3 linked regions of the Lonchura striata genome follow. The protein of the gene in region 1 interacts with the protein of each later gene in a pairwise test. Links are inferred from orthologs where the notes say so. Each region holds a gene or a part of one and is shown in the gene's direction. Other genes may lie near its edges.

Evidence for each region.
Region 2: the proteins of PTN (region 1) and UBQLN4 interact in a two-hybrid assay, tested with the Homo sapiens proteins (2 studies listed by BioGRID and IntAct). The link is inferred for Lonchura striata from reciprocal best matches to the Homo sapiens genes PTN and UBQLN4.
Region 3: the proteins of PTN (region 1) and TAF1D interact in a two-hybrid assay, tested with the Homo sapiens proteins (2 studies listed by BioGRID and IntAct). The link is inferred for Lonchura striata from reciprocal best matches to the Homo sapiens genes PTN and TAF1D.

The regions. Positions count from the first base shown.
Region 1 is NC_134607.1:16,259,950-16,267,793, forward strand, and holds the start of PTN (pleiotrophin), read left to right. Parts: upstream 1-4,400; 5' UTR 4,401-4,685; intron 4,686-7,844.
Region 2 is NC_134635.1:1,245,488-1,253,087, forward strand, and holds the start of UBQLN4 (ubiquilin-4), read left to right. Parts: upstream 1-4,310; 5' UTR 4,311-4,311; coding exon 4,312-4,467; intron 4,468-6,308; coding exon 6,309-6,460; intron 6,461-7,600. Other genes in the region: RAB25 (ras-related protein Rab-25), read right to left, coding at 1-55, 954-993; ragulator complex protein LAMTOR2, read right to left, coding at 1,903-1,959, 2,233-2,322, 2,437-2,599, 3,825-3,892. UniProt on the Homo sapiens protein: Regulator of protein degradation that mediates the proteasomal targeting of misfolded, mislocalized or accumulated proteins.
Region 3 is NC_134604.1:39,302,939-39,311,132, reverse strand, and holds the start of TAF1D (TATA box-binding protein-associated factor RNA polymerase I subunit D), read left to right. Parts: upstream 1-4,755; 5' UTR 4,756-4,821; intron 4,822-5,105; exon of another isoform or gene 5,106-5,162; intron 5,163-6,954; 5' UTR 6,955-6,966; coding exon 6,967-7,202; intron 7,203-7,305; coding exon 7,306-7,753; intron 7,754-8,013; coding exon 8,014-8,189; intron 8,190-8,194. Other genes in the region: BKGD (ester hydrolase C11orf54 homolog), read right to left, coding at 1,928-1,985. UniProt on the Homo sapiens protein: Component of the transcription factor SL1/TIF-IB complex, which is involved in the assembly of the PIC (preinitiation complex) during RNA polymerase I-dependent transcription.

The DNA.
Region 1 (7,844 bases):
ATGAAATAAACATGTTTGTTTATGTAAAAAAAAAAAAAAAAAAGTGGTCATATACACAAAGCAATTTTTTTTTCATTATAGCTAAGGTATTTTATTTTTAATGCAGTAGACTTCAAATCCTGGATATGTAGAACTTCCACTCCCAGGAATGCCAGTACAAACAAAAGAAGAAAGTAGTGAGAGAAGCCAACATATGAAGAGCAGCCTTTTAAATGCTGGGGATCTGGAAAGGCCTGCTGTGTCGCATTATATTTGTGGATTTCAAACTGCAGCATGCAGATGTATGCACATGAATAATTTTGAGCAGAAGAGCTTTAATCCCCTTGTAGAAAATGGAGTCAGTCAAATGTGTAACGTTACGACATGTATTCATGGTTTGGTGACTGAAGCTTAAGATCAAGTTCTGGGCCTCTGGCTTTGTTTTCAAATATCTTAAGTTTTTAGCATATGTGCATGAAAGAATAACTCTCCTGGGTTCATGCTTTTGCTGTTGCCTTCCACATGCCTCTGGGAAATCTGACTTTTTATACTCTGGATTATTTTAATATTAGGGAGTAAGGTATGAATTATTATTTCTGAACTCCATGGATTTTTCTACTCCAATTATAAGATTGATAGTCTCTGTGATGATAGTGTGAGGGCTTGAAATGAAAGATAGAGTGAGAGGGTACACAGCTCAGAAGTAGTTGATTTCAATCCTCAATGCATTCACTAAATAATTCAGTATCACTAATGGAAATCTGATCTGAGCGCGGCAGTCGGGATGCAGGGCACTCAGTTGCCAGGGCTTGGCAGCTCAATAGTTCAGGAACAACAATGGAGCAAAAGGTGAAAAAACCTTTAAACTGTCGTGGAGTTCTCCTCTCTGCTTTCCTGGAATCATGTTACGTTTTCCTGGTGCTGCTGTTGCTGATGGCTGGGAAGGGCACGGAAAGAAATTAATATTTACAGTGGAGTTGAAACAAACAAGGCAAGCTCAGCTCCAGCTGACCTTCTAACCTACTCAGCAGTGGGACCAAAACCAGGGAAGCTCTTCTTGAGAGAAAACTGCATAAAGCCTTGTCCTCTGAGCTGCTCTCTGAACTTTAGAGTCAGAATTTTTAAGGCCATCTTTGGAAAAAAGTGAAAACTACTGTTAGAAGTTCTAAATATTTCCTTCAGGTGGGTTGTGAATTGATTACCTAAGAGTAACAAAAACCCCCAGCTTCAAAGAGAAAAGTTGGTGTTTATGTTTTTTTCAAAGGAAGAAAACCCACCTAATTCAAGGGAACTTATTATGATGTACTTTCTGCATTTTGGCAAAAACTATTCCTAAAATTAGGAGCTTCTTCCCCCAAAATTGTCATAATTTTTTACTGATTGAATTGAGAGTCTAATTAGGATCTAACATTTTGGATTGTTTATGAGAACATTTGCATGTGGCATCAATCAAAGGTCCTTTTACAGCCCGTTTTGGCCCGAAACTTCAGCTTTCCTTTTTAAGAGATATTTCAGATTTGCCTCACTCATTAGGTTGTGCATTTTTGCTCCAGGTAGTGAAGAGGATACGTGAAAACAGAAACTGGACTTCTACAGCTGCCAATCCATTCCTCACCACTGCTTTTTGATCAGAGTGGAACCAACAACTGTAAACAAATGTAAAGGATTTTAAAGATAAGTATCCCTGACAATCTGTGAGCAAAGTCTCTTTTCTTGGTTACCTTTGTGTTCAGAGTAGAAAAGCAATAGTTGAAAAGTATTTTTTTCAGTAGGGATTTTCCTATCAGTCACAAGAAATGTTGACTGGTCTGCAGTTCCAGAGATCATGCAGCAATTACATCATTGTCTGAGAAAAAAACTCAGGAGAGACAAAACAGCAGAGAAGATCTGGAGATAAGCTCCTCCAACCTTAATATCCTTTTATTAAGGAAAACATCCCTCTGAACTGTTCATAGCTCATCATCCATCCATCTCAATGTTCTCCATGCTATACTGCTGTTTCCCACTGGGAACCAGTGCTACAGGCACCTTTGATGGTGTGAATAACATAGTTTGTGACCTTTCTCTTGGCAAAAAAAGTTACATTTGTCCTCTCAAGACTACTGTATTCACTGTCTCATTGTCCTCTCTGTCTTAACAGGTTCTAGCTCAATGGTAAAAGTTCAGTCAAGAAATTCAAGTGTTATGCCTCATTAATATCAAACATATACAACACAGTGAGCAATTTGGGGCAAAGAATATTTTTCCTGTATGTGTACAGTGCTTATTGCAATGGAAACCTCAGTCAAGCCTCAAGGTGCCATTGAAACAAATAATACGAACATTAAAAAACATTTACCTTTTTGGCAATCAAAAACTGAGAAACTCTGTTTTTCAGTCATAGGGGCTTCGAACAATTATCTGTCCCTGAGAAGCTCTGCTAACCTTGTTAGCAGTTTTATTTTGGAGATTCTGAGTCAAATAACACACAAAACTATTACACAAAACTATTTTTTGTGCATGTAAACTCAGTTTCAGGAAAATAACATCTGAGCCATGAAAAACTAGGTATGGAGAAAATCTGGTATGGAGAAAATCTGGGAGCAAATGTGGTCTTGATATTGCTTCCAAATTTAGAGGTTAAAGGAGGCTTCTAACATCATGCACATCTTTGTGAAAAGCAGTTGCTTTCTGCAAAGTTTCCACTGTTTTATCAAAATGCTATGCTTGCAGTGTTTTGGCTAAGACTCAGATTTCTGTGAGGAAAGTAAGAAACCTCTTGGCCCATTCTGATGCAATCCGTTTTGGTTTCCATCAAGGTGAACTTAGAGCCATTTTTCTCTTTCCTACTTAGTTACTCAGGAAGGATTGATCATCTGAAATGTGCTATAGTGGTTGTATGGAGAATTTCTTGGGTCTGCAAAGTGTCAACCACTACCAGGTGCTTCTTGATGGAAAGTTTTTCTCTAGGTGCTTGTTGTGCTTAGCTCCGTGCTGCCAGGATTTCACTGAGAAGACCTCAGGAAGGTGCGAGCTGGCTAGCAAGCATTCATTCAGCCTTGCATGCTCTGAAACACAAATGCCATTGAATTCTCCTTTCCACTCATCCAGCTGCTAGAAAGGATATTCTTTCCACCTCAAGCCATCACTTTACACTGCAAACCAAAATTGTTGTTTTAAATTACATCACTGTCATTAAACCTGCTGGTGGTGCAAATCCTGCACAGCCGTGCCAGGACTGAACACATAACTGTGTGATGAAAAGAAGATGTCAAGGTGTGGATGGAAAGGGTTAGTTTACTTTACTAAGAAGGACTCCAGGTGAGTGCAATTGCCTGCTCTGGGACTGGCTGTACAGTGCTTTTCATTGTCACAGATGGTAGGTGTTAGATGATGCAATGTGTTCGGTGCCAGACAAATTACTTTTTTAGCTCATTCCTCTGGAAACAGGAGGGGAATCTGAACTGGATTTCTGTGCAAACCTGGAGCAGGAGCTGCAAGCTACAAACCCAGGTGAGACCTAAGCAGTGAATGGGCCCAGTCTTTCAAGTGAAGGCAGAGACTTGCTCTGGGGAGAGGGAATTACACAGAAACTGCCTGGAGTTTGGAACAAGTCCACGTAGTTTTAAATTAAGCTGTGGATTGGGGAACACTCTTATTCAGTGGATGTAATGAACCTGAAAGTTGGAAAAGCCTGCTACTAAATGAAAGCCCTGATACAACTGCAGCAACCGCTATGACCAAAAGTGTTGAAATGGCATGGCAAAAGTTGTTCTCACTGTGCTTTTAGGCCAAGTTGAAATTAAAATTGAAATTAAAAGCTGGGGGTGGGGGACTGGGGGGGGGGGGAAGAAGTGGTCCACTGTGGGTTTTTATTTATTTATTTATTTATTTATTTATTTATTTATTTATTTTCTTGCTTCCCACTCTCTAGCACTATTTCCAGCCTATCACTCCCGTGGTCAAAATGGCAAGCTGGAAGTCAGCGAGGCCGAAGTTAGAGCTCCTCAAACTCTGACAGCCAAAGGCAACCGGGGCAAAAACTGCGGTGGACGTTTGTACCTGCAAAAGCAGCTGAAGCCCCGCACCGGTCGGGCTGTAGGGCGAGCTGCCTCTCCCTGTCCCTGGGTGATGAAGAGGAGAGAAAGTTACCTGAGCTAACAAGCCCGGTCGGGATCCTGGGGCGCTCCGCACTGCAGCAGCTCCCCACCGGGCTCTCCGCGGCGCGCTCCTCCCGCGGGAGCTGCGGAGGAGCGGAGCGAGCCCAGCCCGGCTCGGCTCGGCCCAACCCAGCCCAGCCCGGCCCGGCCCAGCCCAGCCCGGCACAGCTCAGCCCAGCCCAGCCCGGCACAGCCCAGCCCAGCCCGGCACAGCCCAGCCCAGCCCGGCACAGCCCAGCCCAGCCCGCGGCGGGGGCGCGGCTGCCCCGCGGCTGACCCGCCCGCATCACACGAGGGGGCAGCGCGGCCGCTCGCTCTGCCCCGGCGCCCGCCTGCCTTCCCTCCTCTCGCCGCCTCGCCGCAGCCCGGGCTCCGCCGAGTCAAAGCGCGGATCAGGTTCCCTGCCTGCAGTATAAAAATCTCGGCCGGAAAGCTCCGGCGGGAGAGAGAGCAGAGCCGGGCGTGAGGAGCGCAGGGACGCGCGGCGGCACAGGCAGTCGCTGCTCACCGGGGACGGTCGCGGCTCGCCCCTTTCAGCTGCGGGAGAGGAGCTCTTTGCCGCCCCAAGTAAGTCCGAGGCAGCGGCGGGGACTCCCGGGTCTGCCCGAGGGATGGTACCTCCAGCGCTTGTTCCCCCGGGGCAGGGTGGGCAGCGCTTCCCTCGTCCCTGCCGCGGCTCCGGGACACTTGCCCCAGCAGGATGCCGCAGAGGCTGGCCGGCCAGAGGGGCCGTGGGGCTGGGTGGGAGCAGGGGTGCACCTGAGGGGGACACCTGAGCCCCCGGAGACACCTGGCCGAGGTGGTGGGTGAGGTCTGGGAGTGCCCGGGAGCAGACACGGGACCGCTTTGCCGGGTGGGGAGCGCTGCCGCGGTGCTTCGGTGCCTGGGAGCGTTCAAGTGCCAGCACGGGGTGAGAGGGACAGCGGCGGCCGTGGGTGACGGGATCCAGCGGGGAAGGGAGGCAGGAGTGTTCGGGCAGTTCCGTTTCGAGAGGACAAAGGGACAGCGGAGCGGCAAACCCCCTGCGGGTCCCAGTTACCCTGTGCCAGGAGCGTCCCGGCTGGAACTCGGGAGTTTAAATTGTACCTTCAGACCGAACACTTGGGCTTATATTTTTCTTGGGACTTTGCCTTCTTATCCCTAATTTACTCCTGCTGAAACAACTAAATCTAGCAAGTGCTGATAGATCTGTCTAAAACTGCCGTTGTTAGTTCGTGTCTTCCCCTTCCTCGGGACGGATAGGCTGGGGGAAAAACCTGAGTTAACAACGGTGAAAACACAGTTTCCTCTTTGTAGAACTTGTCTGCGATTCTGCAAATGTTTCATGGTCTCCAGCCTCGGTGCTTCTAACTCCTTACCTGCCTTTCTTCTCTTCTTTTTAAAAGTACAACTTTTCATAGGAGGAAGGTAATCTTCATTCTGCGGGAGCTTATCTGCTCCTTTTACATCTTCCGCTTGGCTGTCGCACCTCTCTTCCACGCTGCCAGTGGCTTTGCCTTGGTGGTGAATGACTACTGCACTTTAACTTAGTGGTACCCTCGGGAGCTGGCTATTAGGATGTACACCTGAGAGACTGGCGGGTTCTTGGGAGCACTGTGGAAATGTTTGTGACAGGAGTTAAATCTTTCTCTGTGACATAACCCTAGAGCTATGGATAGTGGTGTTCTAGCCAGATCCCATTTGCTTGCAATGACTTGTGTTATGGTAGAGGAACATTTTACCTGTGGGTCATCAGCTCTTGAGTTGATGTCCTTTCCTTGTTTTCCCTCTGGGCACTGATTTTTTTTAGCTTTTAGCAAAGCTCAACTTTTTGAACAAGAACTACATGATGTGTGTAACTGACTGTATTAGGGAGAAAAAGGGAAGGGATGGAGAGAAAAAGAGAAGGAAAGTAAAAGTTGTCACAAAGAAATACTTGGTGTGTCCTGAGCAGTGTTCTTGAGCCGATTATGAAACAAATTTAATGTTTATGTGTGTTTGTTTTGTTTTGTTCATTTCAATTTCCTCCCTGAAAAAGAATAAGAATTAAAAAAAAAAATAATTCTGAACTTTTATAACGAGAAATAGTTTAAAGTGAAAAAGGAACTGGTGTATTTGTGACAAAATTTGTTGCTTTGCTGTAGGAAAGAAAATTTGGAAGTGCATGGAGAAGGTACTTCATTGAAGTAAAAAAAAACCCCAAATTCCCATAACTGACCCCAAAAAGCAGCAAAACCAATTCCTGCTGCATAATTTAGCTACTTTTGCTAAAGAGAAGGAATGTGGAGATTTAATAAACTCTTGTCTCCAGGCTGAGCTAAACTCTTCAGTGATTTTTCATGTATGAAGGTTTGGGTGAAACTGAAGGACAGAAACTCACAGACTTTACTCCCGAGTCAGCTCTTGGGTGGGGAAAAAGAGAAGCCAGCAACAAACCTTTCTTTTACAAATGGTAAATATTCGTTTATAGTGTAGAAATGGTCTAAGAAAAACAGGTTTTTTGCAGTTATCCAGATGTCAATCCCCAGTTATTTGAGATGCAGTCTGTGGATGATGTATCCTTGCCAGCAGAAGGTTTGTCTCACTATAGGATTACAAAACATAGTGCTGCTATCCCAGTACCATATGCTTGACACTGGGGACACTTTGGAGGGTTATCTTATTCCTGACACAGCTGTACTGATGGATGTTTTGTGTAGATTAATCTTTCTGCCACAAATGTGAATATTATTACTTAGTGAACTTCCAGCAGTGGCTTCGGCAAGGTACTTTCTTGAAATGTCCTCTATTTCTTCTTGATGATTCTGGGAATGGTTGTTCCTGACTCCTTAGATAACAATTAAAAATAATTCTTTACAGGAGCTCTGAAAATGCATTCATTTAACTCATACTATTTTTTTTCCTGTGTGTGTTGGGTGGTGTTTTTTTTGTTTTTTTTTTTTTTTTTTTTTTTTTTTTTTTTTTTGTCAAGGAAAATACAATTTATCTAGTGTTATGGTATAACAAGTGTTTTAGTGTAAGACTAGGGCATTAGGGATGGAGCTGGCATGGCTCATTGCTTCTGCTCTGTTCAGGCCCCCTCATTACCTGCATTCCCAACTGTGGCATTTTCTGTGGGAATTGGTCTTTAACAATGTATGCTTTGCTTCGATATTTACAACCTCTTGCTGGTCAGTGTATCAAAAGCATTTTCATTTAGAGGATGCATTTCAGGACTTTAATTGAGGAAATCTCTTTGTTCCAGGGCTCCATAATAAACCATACAAAATGCTGTTTTTGAATGAACTAGGTCACTGTAACACGTGCACACATAGAGGGATTCTCATCTGCTCAGGGTAGCGACGCTCGCTTGAGCCATATCCCTGGTGAGCTTGTCCCTGATTTATCCTTCTTGGACTGGCTTGTTCACAGGGAGCTTATGCTGAAAATTCACTGCTGGAGGTCATTCTCCATTCTTGGCATCTCTGGCAGCCTTAAGCTTAAATTGCAGCCTCATTTTCTATCCAATCAATACCACTCTTATGTCGCTGAGTTTCCATGGTGCCCCCAATCTTCTGTCTACATATTGATGTCTGACAGCAGGAATAGCATTCTGTGTCGCTATATATACTTACTAAACCTGTCAAAACTATTTAGGGTCTGTCACACTAATTTATATCCATATCCTGATATTATTTGTATCTGTTGAGCTTTGACTGATGGAACTTGCTGCACTAAGGAATCGGCCCCAACAATGCACTCCAGGGA
Region 2 (7,600 bases), on another chromosome or scaffold:
GTAAAACGAGAGAGCAGGTTTGTTTTTCCCACCCCAGACTCCCCGATCAGGACAACTGTGGAAGGAAGGAGAAATCCCACTGGACTGCCCCAGCTACCAGCACTGGTTGCATTGGCATCGCTCGCTGCTGTCCGGTGACCCCAGACTGGCTGCAGAGGCTGGGCAGCTGTGTGGGTTTAACCCCTGGTGTGGGCACTCCTTCAGCCCAGCTGTGCTCCCTAGTGCTGGTGTAACCCCAGAGCTGGTCAGGGGGCTCAGGGCTACCGGCCTCTGGGCAGCAGGAGCAGGGCAAGGAAGTCGGTGAGCCCTGGGTCACCCTGCTGCAGTGGGCACCCAGGACAGGTGGCACACCAGAGCCTGTCTGTCTCCACTTGCCCAAAGGGAGCACTGAGCTCCAGCAGAGTCCAGCCAATAGTACCTGGCAAAGACCAGGCGGGCCCAAGGAGCTCAGCATGGGAGGCGTGAGGCTGCGCCCCCATTTCTCCAGCTCAGCTTTGACCCCCAGGTCCTCTGCTGTGCCACTGCCCAGGTCACCGCAGCAAGTGACTTTTCAATGCCCACTGCTCTCGGGGGTCACAGGATGTCGTGGCATTTGTCTCACACACTCAGCCCCAGCTTTCACAGCCCCACTATCCCGTAACAGCAATTCGCCTGGCACTGCACGCCTTCAGCCTTGGGGTGAGTGAGGGTCTCCCCGGGTCTCTGTGGACCTTGCTGCTGCTCACCAGCCCTGGCTGGCCTCACTGCTGTCAGCGGACCGTGCCTGGCCCCCAGTCCCCTCACCTTCCGTAGCTCCCGGTGCCCATCACAGCTGCGGGGACAACCAAAAACGTGCCAGCTCAGGACACAGCCACCCTGGGGAACGGGCACCCTCGTTGCCTCCCCGCAGCCCCTGGATTTCTGCTCCACTCCTTTTGGGGAAGGGGAGGGCTGGCACGGAGCGCAGGACTCACCCTTGAAGACGAAGTTGTAGTCCTCCTCGGCGCTGCCCATGTCGCCCCGGCCGCCGCCTGCCCTCGCAGGGCCCCGGGTTTCCTCCGTGCCGCTGCCGAGCCCGAGCAGCCCGCGGGGCGGGCCGGGCTCCCGGGGCGCCGAGGGAGGAGACGGAGCCACCGAGGCTCCTCTGTGCCGGGGAGCGAGCGGGGCCGAGCGGCTCCGGGGAGCGGAGGGTCCGGGACAGCGGCGAGAGGCCGAGCAGGCGACAGCGCGGCGCCCAAGGGGTGGGACCGGGTGTCGCAGCGCAGGTTGGGCAGGTAGCGGCACCCCTGGGACCGTCACGGGGCGGCCGGAGGAGGAGCCAGGGCTGATCGGAGTGCGGGGCAGGCTGGGGCAGCGAGAGCAGCACCAGCAGGATGGGCAGCGCGGGCAGGGAGGGTGCCAGGGCACCGAGGGCACCGCGGGGTGGGACGGCAGCGAGGGCAGCCGTGCCAGGAGCAAACCCCCGCTCAGCCCGGCTCCCGCGGCTGTCGATGTTCCCTCGCCTCTGCTGCCATCGTGTGAAAGCCAGGGAAATAGGGATGGGAAGGAGCCCCCAGCACCCCCAGCTATCCCAGTGTAACAGCAGGGCTGGGTAGGGGCTCGGCTCTCTCGTAACCCCTCTCCTTTGACAACAGCCCCTTGCAACTTGTTGTTTTTCCCCAGGGCAATGGCACCTCCCAAACACTGCCCAGGCACCTCCAGCCCAGTCCGGTTGTGTTACCCCTCAGCTCCCCCAACAACAGACACAATGGACACAAGCATCAAACACACTTTTATTCCCGCCAGCTTCTGGATTCCTGCCACTGCATTCTTAAGACCCCACCAGAGCTCCAGGATGCCCATGGGGCCACTCACGCCCAACCCACGGCGGTGACGGTGACGGTGCTGGAGCCCCGTGGCACCTCAGAGCCCTCCACTGCCTGCTCACGATGCAGCCACCTGCGTGAGCGGCTCCTCCAGGTACTGCACCAGTGCCTGTGCCTGCAAGCAGAGAATGGCATGAGCCACGCTCAGGTGGGTTTTGCAACACGTGTGCCCACTGCCCACTTGCTTATTGTAATTTGTATTTCAGTTTAGGACCTTAAAAAGGTGTGATAGAGTGCCTGGGCAGGCACAGGGGACAGAGGAGTCTCTGCAAGGTCCAAAGAGAGTCCCAGACACAGCAGCTTCCTGAGCCCTTCCATCCCAATCCTCTTCAACAGCTCTTTCCCACACCAAGCAGGGATGCAGCCCTGCCTACACCCCAGCCATTACCTTGGCTTTCAGCATCCCAAATCCGACCGTCTCCTTGGCGTACATGCAGAGCAGCAGGTTTGCCACCCGTGTGATGGCCACTCGCCCCTCCTGCCCAGGGAGAAACAGCACCTGTGGCACCCCAGCTTGGCCTGGACCCCCAGCACGATCCTGGCACCACAGCCACGTCCCCAGGGAGGGCAGGCAGGCTCCAGCCCCACATACCATGCAGTCCATGAGGATGAATTTGAGGTTGTCCTCATTGAACGCCTGGTGCCCATTCTTGTCGTAGGCCACCCAGATGTTGCTGGCGATGGCTGCGGTGACCCTGGCATCAGTGTCCCCATAGCCCGAGTAGGCAAGCAAGGACCCCTCGTTGTTCAGCAGCCTGGGAAGGACACGGTAGGGCAAACCAGACCCTCTCAATACCAGGGGTAGAGCAAACCCCCCCCACCCAGTCCCAAGAACTGCTCCCACAATGCTCCCACTCTGCAGGGGTTTGGCAGGGAGTGGGGGGCTTCAAAGCCAGAAAGCTCTGCAGTGGCCCCAGGCCCGAGCAGGCCAGTGCAGGGCTGTGGTGTATCTGCCTGTTGAAGCAGCAGGACCTGCCACAGGCTGGGCATGAGGAGGACAAACACTGCACAGCCCCAGCCCTTGCACTGTGCATGAGGCATCCCAGCACCAGACATCAGGAACGGTGCAAGGCCCCAGCCCCACACACTGTGCACAGTGCCAGCACCATATGGAGCCCAGCACCGTGCAGGGTGTGTGGTTTCAATCCCACGTGTGCCCCTGGAAGGGCTCGGCCCCTTTGCCTTCCCCAGGCAGGGACAGGGAACATCCCCAGGCAGGGGCAAAGGCAAGGAGCATCCCCGGGCAGGGACAAGGGCAAGGAGCATCCCCAGGCAGGGGCAAAGGCAAGGAGCATCCCTGGGCAGGGGCAGGGGCAAGGAGCATCCCTGGGCAGGGGCAAGGAGCATCCTCAGGCAGGGGCAAAGGCAAGAAGCATCCCTGAGCAGAGGCAGGAGCAGGGGCAAGGAGCATCCTCAGGCAGCAGCAAGGGCAAGGAGCATCCCTGGGCAGGGACAAGAGCAGGGGCAAGGAGCATCCCCAGGCAGGGGCAAGGGCAAGGAGCATCCCCAGGCAGGGGCAAAGGCAAGGAGCATCCCCGGGCAGGGACAAGGGCAAGGAGCATCCCTGGGCTGGGGCAAGGAGCATCCTCAGGCAGGGGCAAAGGCAAGAAGCATCCCTGAGCAGAGGCAGGAGCAGGGGCAAGGAGCATCCCCAGGCAGGGGCAAAGGCAAGGAGCATCCCTGGGCAGGGGCAGGAGCAGGGATAAGAGCAGGGGCTGGGGAAAGGCAGGCAGCATCCTTGGGCTGGAGCAGCATTCCCAGGGCAGGAGCAGGGAGCATCCCCCGCTGCAGGGACAGGGGCAGGCAGCACCTCCGGGCAGGGGCAGCATCCCCGGGGGCACGGACAGCGGCAGCACCTGCCGGGCTGGGTACGAGGGAAGCATTCCGGGCGGGGAAAGCACGTCCCCGCAGCGCCGTCACCCCGGTGCCCGCCGGGCCCACTCGGGGAGAGCCGCCCCCCGCCCGGCCCCCCGCACTCACAGCGTGCTCTGGACGCCGCCGGTGTTGGCCTGGCTCAGCACCTGCGTCAGGGCCTTGGGCCGCAGCATGGCCGCCGCCGGCACCGCGGGCCGCGGGTGGGGCCGCGCCGGGCGGGGCCGTCACGGGCCGCGCCGCGCGCGGCACGCCGGGAGCTGTAGTCCCGCCCGGGCCTGCCGTGTCCCCGTAGGCGCCGGGGCTCCAGAGGGGCCGCGGCAGCAGGAGGGAGCACGGGGCGGGCGTGGCCCTCGGTGCCCGTGGGGATCGGGGATGGAGCCGGTGGAAGGGGGCAGCGGCGGGGCCCTGCGGGCAGCTCCCCCTCCGCAGGCTCAGCCCCGCTTTCAGCCCGCGCCCCGCTCCGGCCGCCCGGCCCGCGCTGCCGCCGTTCCTCCGCGCCGCCGGGAGGCGCCGTCCCGGCCGAGGCGGCGCTGCGGCGCCGCTCCCGGCTCTCTGTGGTGGCGGCGGCCCGGGCTGGCGGCGGGCGGCGAAGATGGCGGAGCCGAGTGGCGGCGGCGGCGGCGGCCCCGGGCCCGGGCCGGGCGGGGACGGCCAGCCAGGGCCCGGCGGGGCGCTCATCCGCGTGACCGTGAAGACCCCCAAGGACAAGGAGGAGATCGTCATCGCGGACGGCGCCTCCGTGCGCGAGGTGGGGGCGGGTCAGGCCGGGAGGCCCGGGGGGCCGGGGCGGGGGCTGACGGGCGGGGGCGGCCGCTCTGGGGGGCTGGGGGACCCAGGAGTGCGGCGAAGGGCTTTTGGGAAGGGAGCCGAGTTTTGGGGCCCGGCAGGAATTTGGGGCGCGCGTGAGGAGCGGGGGAAGGTGCTCGGGGCTGGGGGGCGCTCAGAGGGGCTGGGGGGCTCTTGGAGACCCGGATCTGGGCTGGGGCTGGGCTCGGGGGCAAGCCGGGCTTTCCGCGGCACCCCGGGCCTTTGGGCCTCAGATCGGAGGGAGGACAGGTGCTGGAGGCCTTTGGAGGGGAAACAGCCCCGAGGGCGGCAGGTGTCGGGGGGGCTCACCTGTGGCAGGGGTCGTAGGTGTCGGAAACACAGGAGTTGGGGGCTCGGAGGGCGGCTTTGGGGGTGGTGGCAGTGGGAGGGGTGTGAAGGACCGGGGTGGGGTCTGGGGGCTCGGCCCGTGGGCCGGGCTGCGTGGGAGAGTTTCCTGAGCGGAGGTGTGGGGAAGGTGGTGGGACTGTGGGCAGAGCCGCAGGGGTGCGCGGGGGGCTGCCAGGGGGACACCTGGGGGTCCTGGCGTACCTCGGGATTTCTCTGGAGGCAGATGCCCCTGGCCAGGGGAGAGGAACTGGGCAGATGTTTGGGGCCAGCTTTGGATGAGGTGGAGGGAAGGAAACATCGGCCCTTCCACGGGTGGGCTGGGGGGGCTCTGCACCTGCTAGGGAGCGGGAGAGGGCTGGGATTGCCAAGAGCTGCGCTTAGCGAAGGCTGGGATTGGCAGGGACGCGCTCTAGGGCTGGTCCTGGCATCGAGGAAGTGGCGATGCCCACTGGGACAAGGTGTCATGGGCGCTGCGTTGGGCTGGCTGTGTGCTTTGGTCGGGCGTAGGGCACGAGGTCAGCGTGTGAAGGGCCTGGCAGGGATCTCTGGGCAGCAGTTCATGGCGTGGGCATGCACGTGTGGCCCTCCTGATCCTTTCCCTGGGGGGAGCCCCTCGGACAGGAGGTGTGGAGTGAGGGCTTTGTGCAGGGGGGCCACGGAGCTGTGTGGGGAGAGACACAGACAGGGTGATCTGGGGCCAGGGCTGAGCTGTGCCCAGCCTTGATTTTAGAGTTCGGGTAAACTGAAGCTCTCTCCAGGCTGAGAGCTCTGAAACCACCATGTGTTTCACTCTCCATGCTGGCCTTCCCCTTTGAATTCCCTTTAGTTTGTGTTTCCCAAGTGCAAGGCTTTATTTCCTCCAAATCAATCTGGGGATGCCCCGGCAGGGCCAGCAGTGAGAGTCTTGCTTGCAGGTGTAAATCCCAGCACAGCACACAGTAAGGAATAGGTGTCTATGCTCCGTGGCATGCTCACAGGGAATTCAGTTGCAGAAATAGGAATTGGAGAAGACCTAGTTTATTTCCATTGGCTGATAAAGGATTATTCCCTTTTCCATAGAGCACTGTCCTGTATTAAATCGGAGTTTGGCTTTCCTTAGGAAAAAAAAATCAAATGAACAGATGAAACCAGTTCAGTCGTTCAGCATAAATGGTGTGTTTGGGTTAGGCCTGAAGCACAATTGGTCTGGCTTGGGAAGCCTTCAGCTCTTCTGAGGGAATGGCTCTGTTTTTTTCTGACATTTACTCCATAGTTTGTAATTTCAGAACTTGTCTTTGGTTTGGTTTTCATTAGCACTTCAGGCATCATCAGCAGCTGGTGACTGTGTGATACCTTCATGGGCTGTGAGGATTGTCAGTTCCTTGGGCTGTTCCCAGAATGGATTTATGTTACTGGTACCAGTCCTTTGCCTGAAAAATGCTGTTTGTTTTTCAGTTCAAAGAAGAGATTTCTAGACGGTTTAAAGCCAAACAGGATCAGCTGGTTCTGATCTTTGCTGGGAAGATCCTGAAGGATGGAGACACGTTGAATCAACATGGGATCAAAGATGGGCTCACTGTTCATTTGGTCATTAAGACTCCGCAGAAGTAAGAGCTTAGTCTTGGAGGGGCTGGTGTCAAATGGGGGCTGGGAATAACTGATTGTGATGATCCTGGTGAGCTTTCCCTGCCCCAGCCGTGGGGGTTTGTCACTAACCTGTCCGTGGATGACACAGCTGTGATGGTGTGTGGCAGGTACCTGGAGGGGCTGTCCTTTAACATTACTCATGTGTGTGTCTTGGAAGAGCCCATCAGAAATGTATACTGGTTCTAGCAAACCAGCAAAAGTTCTAGGAAAAGTTGCTGGTAAAAGAAATTACTTTCCCAGTGAGTTTGTGTTGCTGTAGAAGCCAATACCTGGGTTTTCTGTCACCTCCTGCTACATACTCAGCTCTGAGGCTGTGCTCAGGCTCCCCGGGGTGCCACAGGAGGCACACATGCCCTGGTGGGCCCTGCAGGCACGGCTGCACAGGCTGGTGCAGGCAGTGGATGCTGTGCAGCCACGGACATGGGGCAGTGTGGGGTCACCCTGTGCTGTGGTGCACCCGGGCAGTTCCCTGTGGGGATCTGGCTCAGGTGCACCACAGACCTCAGACTGGGAGCAGGACATGGGGCTGACCTCAGGCTCCTGCGGGTTTGGCTCTTCCCAGCACTTTCCAGAGAGGTGGTGGGCATGGAAGGATTTTGGGAACAGCTTCTGTGCTTTAGTTGCAGCCACATTTCAAGGCCCTTCACAGCCGTGCCTCAGGCTCTGGTCACAGCGTGCCCCAGCTCCCGGGGAGCTCCAGGGCTATGTCTCTGTGCAGTTCTGCTGTCCCCTGGGGGAGCTGCACTAATCAAAATAGGCTTTCCCCCCCTTCTTTTTATTCCACCTGTTCTTCTACAAACACAAGGAAGTGTGCTGTCAGGTTCTGCAGCCTCCTTGGATTCTGCCTCTCCAGGTAGCCTGATGCTGTTTCTGCTGTCTCCACTATAAATGTGGTATTGGTGACTGTTTCAAAAGGGGAATCACAGCTGTCCTGGGCTGCTCATTTTTCTCCTGATAATAGTCCTAGAAAAGTGCTTACTGAAGACATTACAGGCTCTTCCTGTGGGAGGAGGTTGAGAGAAACCAAGTGCCCTTTCTCTGGCTTCCTTCTTCCTTTCTTATTCAGCTTTCCATTTGCTTTCCCCACTCTTTGCCTCTCT
Region 3 (8,194 bases), on another chromosome or scaffold:
TGTTAATCTGAGCTTCAGAGAGGAGCAAAAGTTTGTTCAGATAATTGTTTGCCTCATTAATTAATTTTAAGAATTGAAAAGACATTTTTATTGAAATACACTGACTGACTGCTCCAATTAGCACTAGGAGCATCACAGCGTGAAGTAACATGGGTAAAACTTCAATCATATTCAGCAGTGGGTTTGCTTCAAAGAGCAGACAATTACAATCACAGTCAAATATGATTCAAGAGCAAAGGAGAAAGCAAGATGTAGCTGAAACAGCAATCAGTTCTTTACATACATTAATCAGGCAGTTTGCAATAACTTGATTATAATCTCAAACTGCCTCTGCTGGAAACCTGGAAATTTCTACCACCATGGGATACTGCCTATCGTGTTTATGCTCTTGTGGAGATTTTCTGACAGCTGCCACTGTCACAGCAAGACAGATAATGAATGGTGTTAGTGATAAGGAACCAAATCTAAAATTTTTGGTTTGCTTCATAGCAATGTTTTTTTAGGCTCAGAACTTGCAAAGTCACTCAAACAATAGGGAGGATTAGATGAGTGCATCGCTTGGAAACAACTTTCAAACCTTTAGTGTGTGATTGTCTTCACATACACTGCTTCAAATACTATGTTGAAAGGTCCAAGTTCTTTCATGCCTGGGGGGTCTGCTTTGACAGGTGTCTCAAAATAAAGAACAGGACATTCAGTGTGTGATCTCAAATCAGGTGGTTCCTTATCTATGCAGAAGTCTTTCTCTGCCTTTGTTTACTCCAGTTAGGGTTTCAGCCATACCTTACCTCTCAAGATCAGATCTACCAAGCTGTTGACCAAAAGTAGTAGCCAGTACTTGGTACATTTCTAAATACATCTTGGTACCTTCTGGCAAGTGGACAAGGACAGTAAAAGGGCATTCTTCAAATTATACCCCAAATCTGAACAATTCCCAGCAACACAATTCCCAGTTTACAGGAGATCCTCAGGACAGATGGGGAAAAAAGGGAAAATTCTGCTTTGTGATGAAATTTTTCTGATACTCTTTCAAGCTGTTCTACTGCAAGTACATGGTGTTCTCTGCAGAGCTTAGAGGTCTACAGCAGCCCTGGCCTACTGCCCCCATCTGACTGGATGAGAAAAGCACTGAGAACCACCCAGGGCACTGCTGGGACCACACGTTCTCAACACATGGAAATGTCAAACTGACACAGATCTGGGAAAGTGGCAAACTGAACTTGAGGATCAATCTGAAAGACAAAAAAACTTCAGTATATCTGCTGCAGGGGAGAGACTGCTGGAATAATGTCTTCCTCCTAGGGCAAGAAAAGAAGCTCATGAGCATCTGGGCCAAACCTGTAAGTCCCTTCCAACCTCAACCATTCTGTTATTCTGAGTAGATCTTGCAAAGGCTTTGGAAAGAAGTAAACTACAGAAGATGTTTCCTGCAGCCCTGTTCTAAGGCAATCACAAAAGGAGGAGCCAACTATGTTCAAGCAAGAGGATCTGCCATACTACACTGCATCTTGTCATCTGCCATACTACTACAATGCATCTTGTCAGCTATGTTTTGGGCAGTCCTGAAAAAGAAAGAAATATTAGAGGATAGAGGAGGACAGATAATTCTGTATGTGTAAAGAAGTTTGGTGTGTAGTGGTCAAACTTTCATGACCTGCACACAAATCTGCACATGCAGCAGTTTTAAAGGAATTGAGCCTGTGCATTTATCTTGGGCCCTTGGGGAGGACTCATTGTTTGCTCTAAGAAAATAATCTCATTATATAGAGAAACAGTGCTGTTTTTTACCTCTCGGTGTGCTAAAAGCAGGAATTCTGCATGTCCTAGCTGTAGAAAGACTTTGGTATGAGTTTTAAGATAAGTTTGAAGAGTACATTACAAAGTAGTGTATAAAGTAATGTATAAAGTCACGTGTTGCATTACTTACCCCCAGCAAGCTCCTCCAGACTTGGGACATGAAAAGCAAACCTTTCGACTTTGGCCATTTCCTGATCAGTGCTGATTTCTTCAGGTAAGAAGTTACAGTACAGCACACTGCAGAGTAAGTGGTCTGCCAGCAAAGATAATAGTTTAACAATTTAAACATGCTCCTTTCAACATGTTAATTATTTTTCAATTTCACTCTAGAATACATAGAAAAAATAGAACTGTAGTTCTACCATCATAGGAGACACTGACATCTTCAATAGCACCATTAAATTTCGTATGCATTTTGGAAGAAGATGTGTCTGTCAGCCCTATAGCTGGCTCAGAGCATTACACACACTAGTCCTCAAGCTGACAACTGGGTGTAAAGAAAACATATCCTACGCTGAATGCAGTTCAAGTGGTCAGGAGATTTGGGAGTCTTTTTGTAAGGCTGGAGTCACAAGAAAGTTTTGAAAGAAACCTGAGCTTTCCTGAGCACATCAACTGCCTCCTAAGGTCTTCCTGAATTTAATGTTTACTTTTCCAGCACTGGATGGTGGACTTTCAACCGCAGCTGTGACATGGTCTCCAATTGATTCTGGGCATGTGTTTCCCCTTCCAGAGAGGAACAGGCTAGCAGCAAAATAGAAATCAACAGCAGCAAATTCTGCAGTATCAGACTCTGTAGCCATACAAAAAGTGTCTTAAAAACCCAGTGTGTACTATAACAAAAAGTTTTGAACATGACTTTAAGAGCCCCTTCAGAAATGAACTGCACTGCAGTCAGCCATGCAACAGCAAAGCCAGCTAGAAGGGCAAGCCACTAGGTCAGGGCAAAAACAACTGATTGTACACTACCTAAAAATCTGCTGCAGCAATCATTAACTCCTTAGGCACATACCACATACTTGCTATACACAGCAATAAAAAATAAAATGGGTCCTATTTACCCAGATCTCAGGTGGAAGAAGGAAAAAGCCAAAATCCTAACTACATTCCTAGACCTGAGTCTTTGTTAGGAATGACTATTGTATAAGACAGCTGCTTACATATATATTTAGCTTCTGTTTTTAAAAAATCCTAACTTTTATGACTATCAAAAAATGTAACTGTCCTTACACCATTAGCATAAAGGGAAAAAAAACCACCAAACCAGTGGAAAAAAGAAGATGAGTAGGGAGATCGTAGCAGTCACTTAACTGAAATCTTTAAGCCCAATGCTCAGCCACTCCAAGTTACTGCATAGCAAGCAGTAGAGAAGGGAAGAATGACTGCAACCTGTGTATAGTAATTCTCATCTTAGTTGGTCCTATCTATCTCCACAGTTGACTTCATCCCTCCTCTGGCTCTGGAAAGTAGCAGGCTGGATTTGGTGCCTCTGGTAGAAGCCTCATGTCAGGCGGAGTGAATCATACCACAAGACTTTTAGTGTGCACCAAGAAAGGGAGTAATGTAAGAACATGGCTTTGGGAGCATTGTTTTAGACAATCCTCACCACCTCAAGAACCTTTTGCCACATCCAGGAGGAGGCTGTGCCAATGCTCAACACATTGGTTGTCCTAAAACAGCCTGAGAAGGCAAGCTATAATTGCTGCTGTACAAAAGGCAGGGACAAGACTTGTACAATACCAGTATAAGTTAGCTCCCCACAATCAAGAAAGGAGGGAAACACTGTGGAAAAATTTGATGTAGCATAATAAACCCAATCTGATTGGCAGGCAGTTGTTCTTACCAGGAAAGACACAAAAGGGTAGATCTGTAGCCCACCACTGCAAATATTCACAGGGGAGTGAATTGTGTAGTGTGGGGACAGAGAGAACCCGAAACAACAGCATGCAATTAAGATCCGTCACAGAGGGTTGCAGTGACACTGAATCGCTACAGAAGACTTTCAAAGGAAGAACACAAATGCTAAAGGGATGATAAAATTGTTATAGATGTGGGATGGTGCAACTAGAATGGAGGCAACAAGTATGCAAAGACTTAAAAGTCTACCTTTGAAGTGGGAAGAAAACATTACAGAGAGTAGCCAGGTGCCAGGAGAATACAGATGAAATGTGAACCATTAGATTGATTATATATGTGGATAGTCTATTGTCAAAACCTGAACTGAAATTAGCTTGGAGACTTAAAGCCAAAAAGGAGAGATTACAGGCAGGTAGACACGAATCGGGGAGGGAGGTGGTGGGGGAAGAAATATCAGTGGAAAAAAATGAAGACGGCAGTTGTGAGAGAGAAATGTAGCGATGACACCAAGACATCCATAGGGGCAGAAGCGGTATTTCTCTCCTGGGGCGGTGCGAGGAGATCCCGTACGGGGCAGGGGAAGGCTGCGCGGCAGCAGAAGCTGTTCGAATGGCTGGGATCTGGGGAATCACGGCAGGTATTTACAGGTGTGCTAGGCGAGGCTGGGGTCCGTAGGGACTGGGAGCACCCCAGCAGGCAAAGACAGCGAAGAGTCCTGGAGCGAGGGAGCGCTAAAGCCGGCATAGCTGCGAGGGGGAGGAAGGGGCTGCTGAGGCTGGAGCAGCCAGCTCGGAGGAGCCTGGGCAGCGCGGGGAAGGACGAGCAGCGCAGCAGGAACCGGAGCCTCTCGCCGGGCGGGAAGCCTAGGGAACCCGGCAGCTGCCCGAGCTCTGCCGCGCACCGACCGCCGCTATCGCCCGTCCGCACGTACCTGCCCTGCCGCCGGGACTGGCACAGCAAGGCAAGACAGGACTTGATTCGATACGGCTCGGCTCGGCTCGGCTCGGCTCGGCTCCGCCCCCGGGCGCGGCCGCCCCGCGGCCACTGCCGGCATGGCGCCATCCTCCGCCCCGCCTCCTTCCCGCGCGCCTCTCGCGAGCTCCCGGCGCTACTTAAGGCGCGGGCGGCCATTGTTCTCTCTTTGCGGCGGGGCGGCGGCGGGCCAGGTGGGTGCCGCGGCCGGGCGGATCCGCCGCCATCCGCGCCGCGGGGGCCGGCACCGAGGGAGCCGGGAATGGAGGGACAGCCCGGGCGCTGTGGAGTCGTGCCCCGGGGGCTGGGGCGTGTGGCGGCGGTGGGTGAGGGGCCCCGCGGGAGCGCTGCCGGCGGGGTGTCCCCGGCCCGTGTGATCGGTGCGTGCCGGCGTTTGAAAAGCCGAGCCTGGCGAGCGGCGTGCTTGGCGCCTTTGGCAGGTTCTTCAGCCAGTTTAGGTGGTTGTTTTCTTCCCTAAGGGATCTGCGTGGCCGGAGCTGTGGTAGAGGCCTGGAAGGATACTGAGCTGCGCCTTGTGAGTACTAGGCAGGGCCTGCGCGGTCAGAGGGCGTTGTCCTGCTTCTGGCCTTGGCTGGTTTTGTTTCTGGGCTTTGTGTTTGCCAGGCCGAGGGTGAGCCAGTGTGAGCAGTGTGCCTGCAAAGGCATCGTGAACCTAGCGTGCGAGTGCCTTCTCCTGTCTTGAGGGGCCCGAAATGAAACACAGGATTTGGAGGTGTGGCCTCATCAGTGCTGAGTATAGCGGGACAATCCCTGCCTTGGGCATGCTGGCCACACCAGTGCTGATCCAGGCCAGGATGCCACTGGCCTTGGCCACCTGGGCACAGCCTGGATCATACTGAGCTCCTGTTGGCTAGCACCCCCAGGGTCTTTGCTGCTGTAACCCAAGTGGAGGATCTGGCACTTTGCCTTGTTGGACCTCAACTCAGTTGGCATCAGTCCAGCCTGTGCAGACACCTCTGCAGAGCTTTCCTGCCCTCCAGCAGATCAGTATTCCCACCGAGCTTGGTGTCATTTGCAAACTGAATGAGGGTGCACTTAATCCCCTTTTTGAGGTCATCGGTGGAAATTAAACTGGTCTGGCCCCAGCACTGATCCTTGGGGAACATCACTTACGACCAGCTTCCAGCTGGATGTAACCCCCTTCAGCACTACTCTGGGGGCCCGGCCATCCATCCAGCTTTTCATGCAATGAACAGTGCACCCATCCAAGGCACGAGCAGCTAGTTCCTCCAGGAGAATGCTATGAGAAATGGTGTCCAAAGTTTTACTAAAGTGCAGGCAGACAGACAACAACCACGGTGTTTCCTTATACACTGGTCATAGAAGATCATCAGGTGGGTCAGTTGGGATCTGCCTTTTGTAAATTCAAGCTGACTGGGCCTAATCCTTTGGTTGATGTACCCTCAGGATCATTTGCTGCAGGTTATGTGAGGACATTGGATGAGCTCTGCTCTAGTGTCTTCAGATGCTGAACTGTGTAATTGCATTTGAAATATTAATGGGTATGATGATGAGTTTGTGAAGCTCTTAAAAAGCACAGTAAAATTAAAAAGATGCAGGTCTACAGGGCTAGTAAATAACTGGTAAAATAACTAAGCACATACAGAGGAAAACTTTGCTGTATGTTATAGTCCCTTTTGTATAGACTTGGGGCACTGAAGAGCTAGACTGTGTTGTCTTGAATATTCAAGTGAAAATTAACATTTTAGTTCTGGAGCTGGTCTCTATGATGATTGAGAACCAGTGAGCAAATAGATAAATAGATTTCTGAGAGCAGGAGATTTTAGGTATCCTGCAGCTCACAAAAGAACAGAAGGAAAATGGCATTGCTTCTTATGGTGACACAGTCTTGGATTAAAGTTTTTAAACCACAGTGAACTAAATATTTATGTATAACTTAAAACTGCATTATCCTTACAAGTATGAGAATCCATTGGCTATTTGTATGTGTGCTTGTTTGGAGGAAAACTTAACCCTAGTAGGGAGAGGGTTAAAATATTCAGAATTAATCTCAGTGAGTCTCTGGTGTCCAATCTGTTGGACCACTGATGCTTGCCTTCCTGTGGTCAAGAGCTGAACTAAAAGGACTCTAAAATTTTTTCTGTCCTCAGTTATGATATGAGTGTCTTGAATAAGTGGGTGTGAGTTAAATGTTAGTATGCAGAATATAACTGGTTATGGTTCATAGGAAAGCACCCGCTCCAGATTGTTCTTGTAAGTTTATCCTGTGACTGTGAGTGGAGTAAAGTCTGTTGCCTGATTAATGTAAGTTTTTTTTAGTTTCTTCAATTCTCATTTCCTTTTGGGGCAAAGTGAAACATGACTGATACAGATGAACCCCAGGCATCTGGCTCTGATTACTCTGATGTGCAAGAGCTGATCAGCCATCAGCCGCAGGAGCCATCTGTGATGTACTCATGGCAAAGGAATACAGGAACAGAGCGGTCAAGGCAGAAGGTGGCTGCACCTGGGGAGTCTTCAGATCATCCTAACAGCATGTGTGAAGCATCAGCAGCTTCAGCTGAGGTTTTACTGATCAGCAGTGATTCAGAAATGTGAGTTTTTATCTCTAGTTCAGAATTTTTCCCATGGAGAACCTGTGTGATGTGTCATAAAACTGTACCTTCTTTTGAAAGTAAATACTTTCTTCTTCTTCAGTGATGTCTCTGCTGCTCGTCCTGAGTGCTCCATTGCTTCAAAGCAGAAAAGGAGATCTCAATCTTCAAGGCAACAAGATGAGTCTGTTACAGAGGTAGCTGACAATGAAAGCTCCTCAGATTCTTCATGGTCTCCCCAAAGTCCAGGGAATTCATTAGACGTTTCCAAGCAGCAGAAGTCAAAACTCAATTTGAAGGCCATTTTTGCCTATCACTTCAGGGGAAGGAAGTTCAAAGCAGCCGCACACCGAAAATACAAAATTTACGCACGGAAGAACAAGAAGAAAAAAAAGTATGAGGGCACACAGATGCCCACAGGGAGGCCCCCACTGACAGCCTCACCTCAGGAACAAAAGAGGAGGCTTCTAGACAGAGGTTTTCAATTTCCTTTTGTTGAAAAACATTATGGGGAGAAACATATTCCCTTAAAGATGGTTCTTGGCTATGAGGTAAGCCCTCTGTTTTGTGGGATAAACATTTTATTAGTCTAAAAATTGTGAATTGAAATGGGCTCTGTGGTGTTTCTACTAAAATAAGACAAACAGTTTTTACTTCAGTTAAACAGGATATTTGATGCTGTAAAATTAATACCTTTTAAAGCAAATACTGCAAGAATATATGTGGATGTTGATAGAATGTTAGAGTTACATTACATGTAAATGCTTTGTAGTGGATTTTTAAGATCTTAACCGAGTTTTTTTTTCTACAGCAAGCAGCTGCAAAGGGCTATTTCAAGTACATTGAAGTGCTTAAATATGAAGAACATCTTAAAAAAGCTTTAAAAACCCTTCAGGCCAGTGATGACTTGGAAAAAGAGTGTATGGTGTTACGGAAACACAAATACTTAGATGATGAAGGCCCCATTTCCCCTATTCAGGAGACAGAGTAAG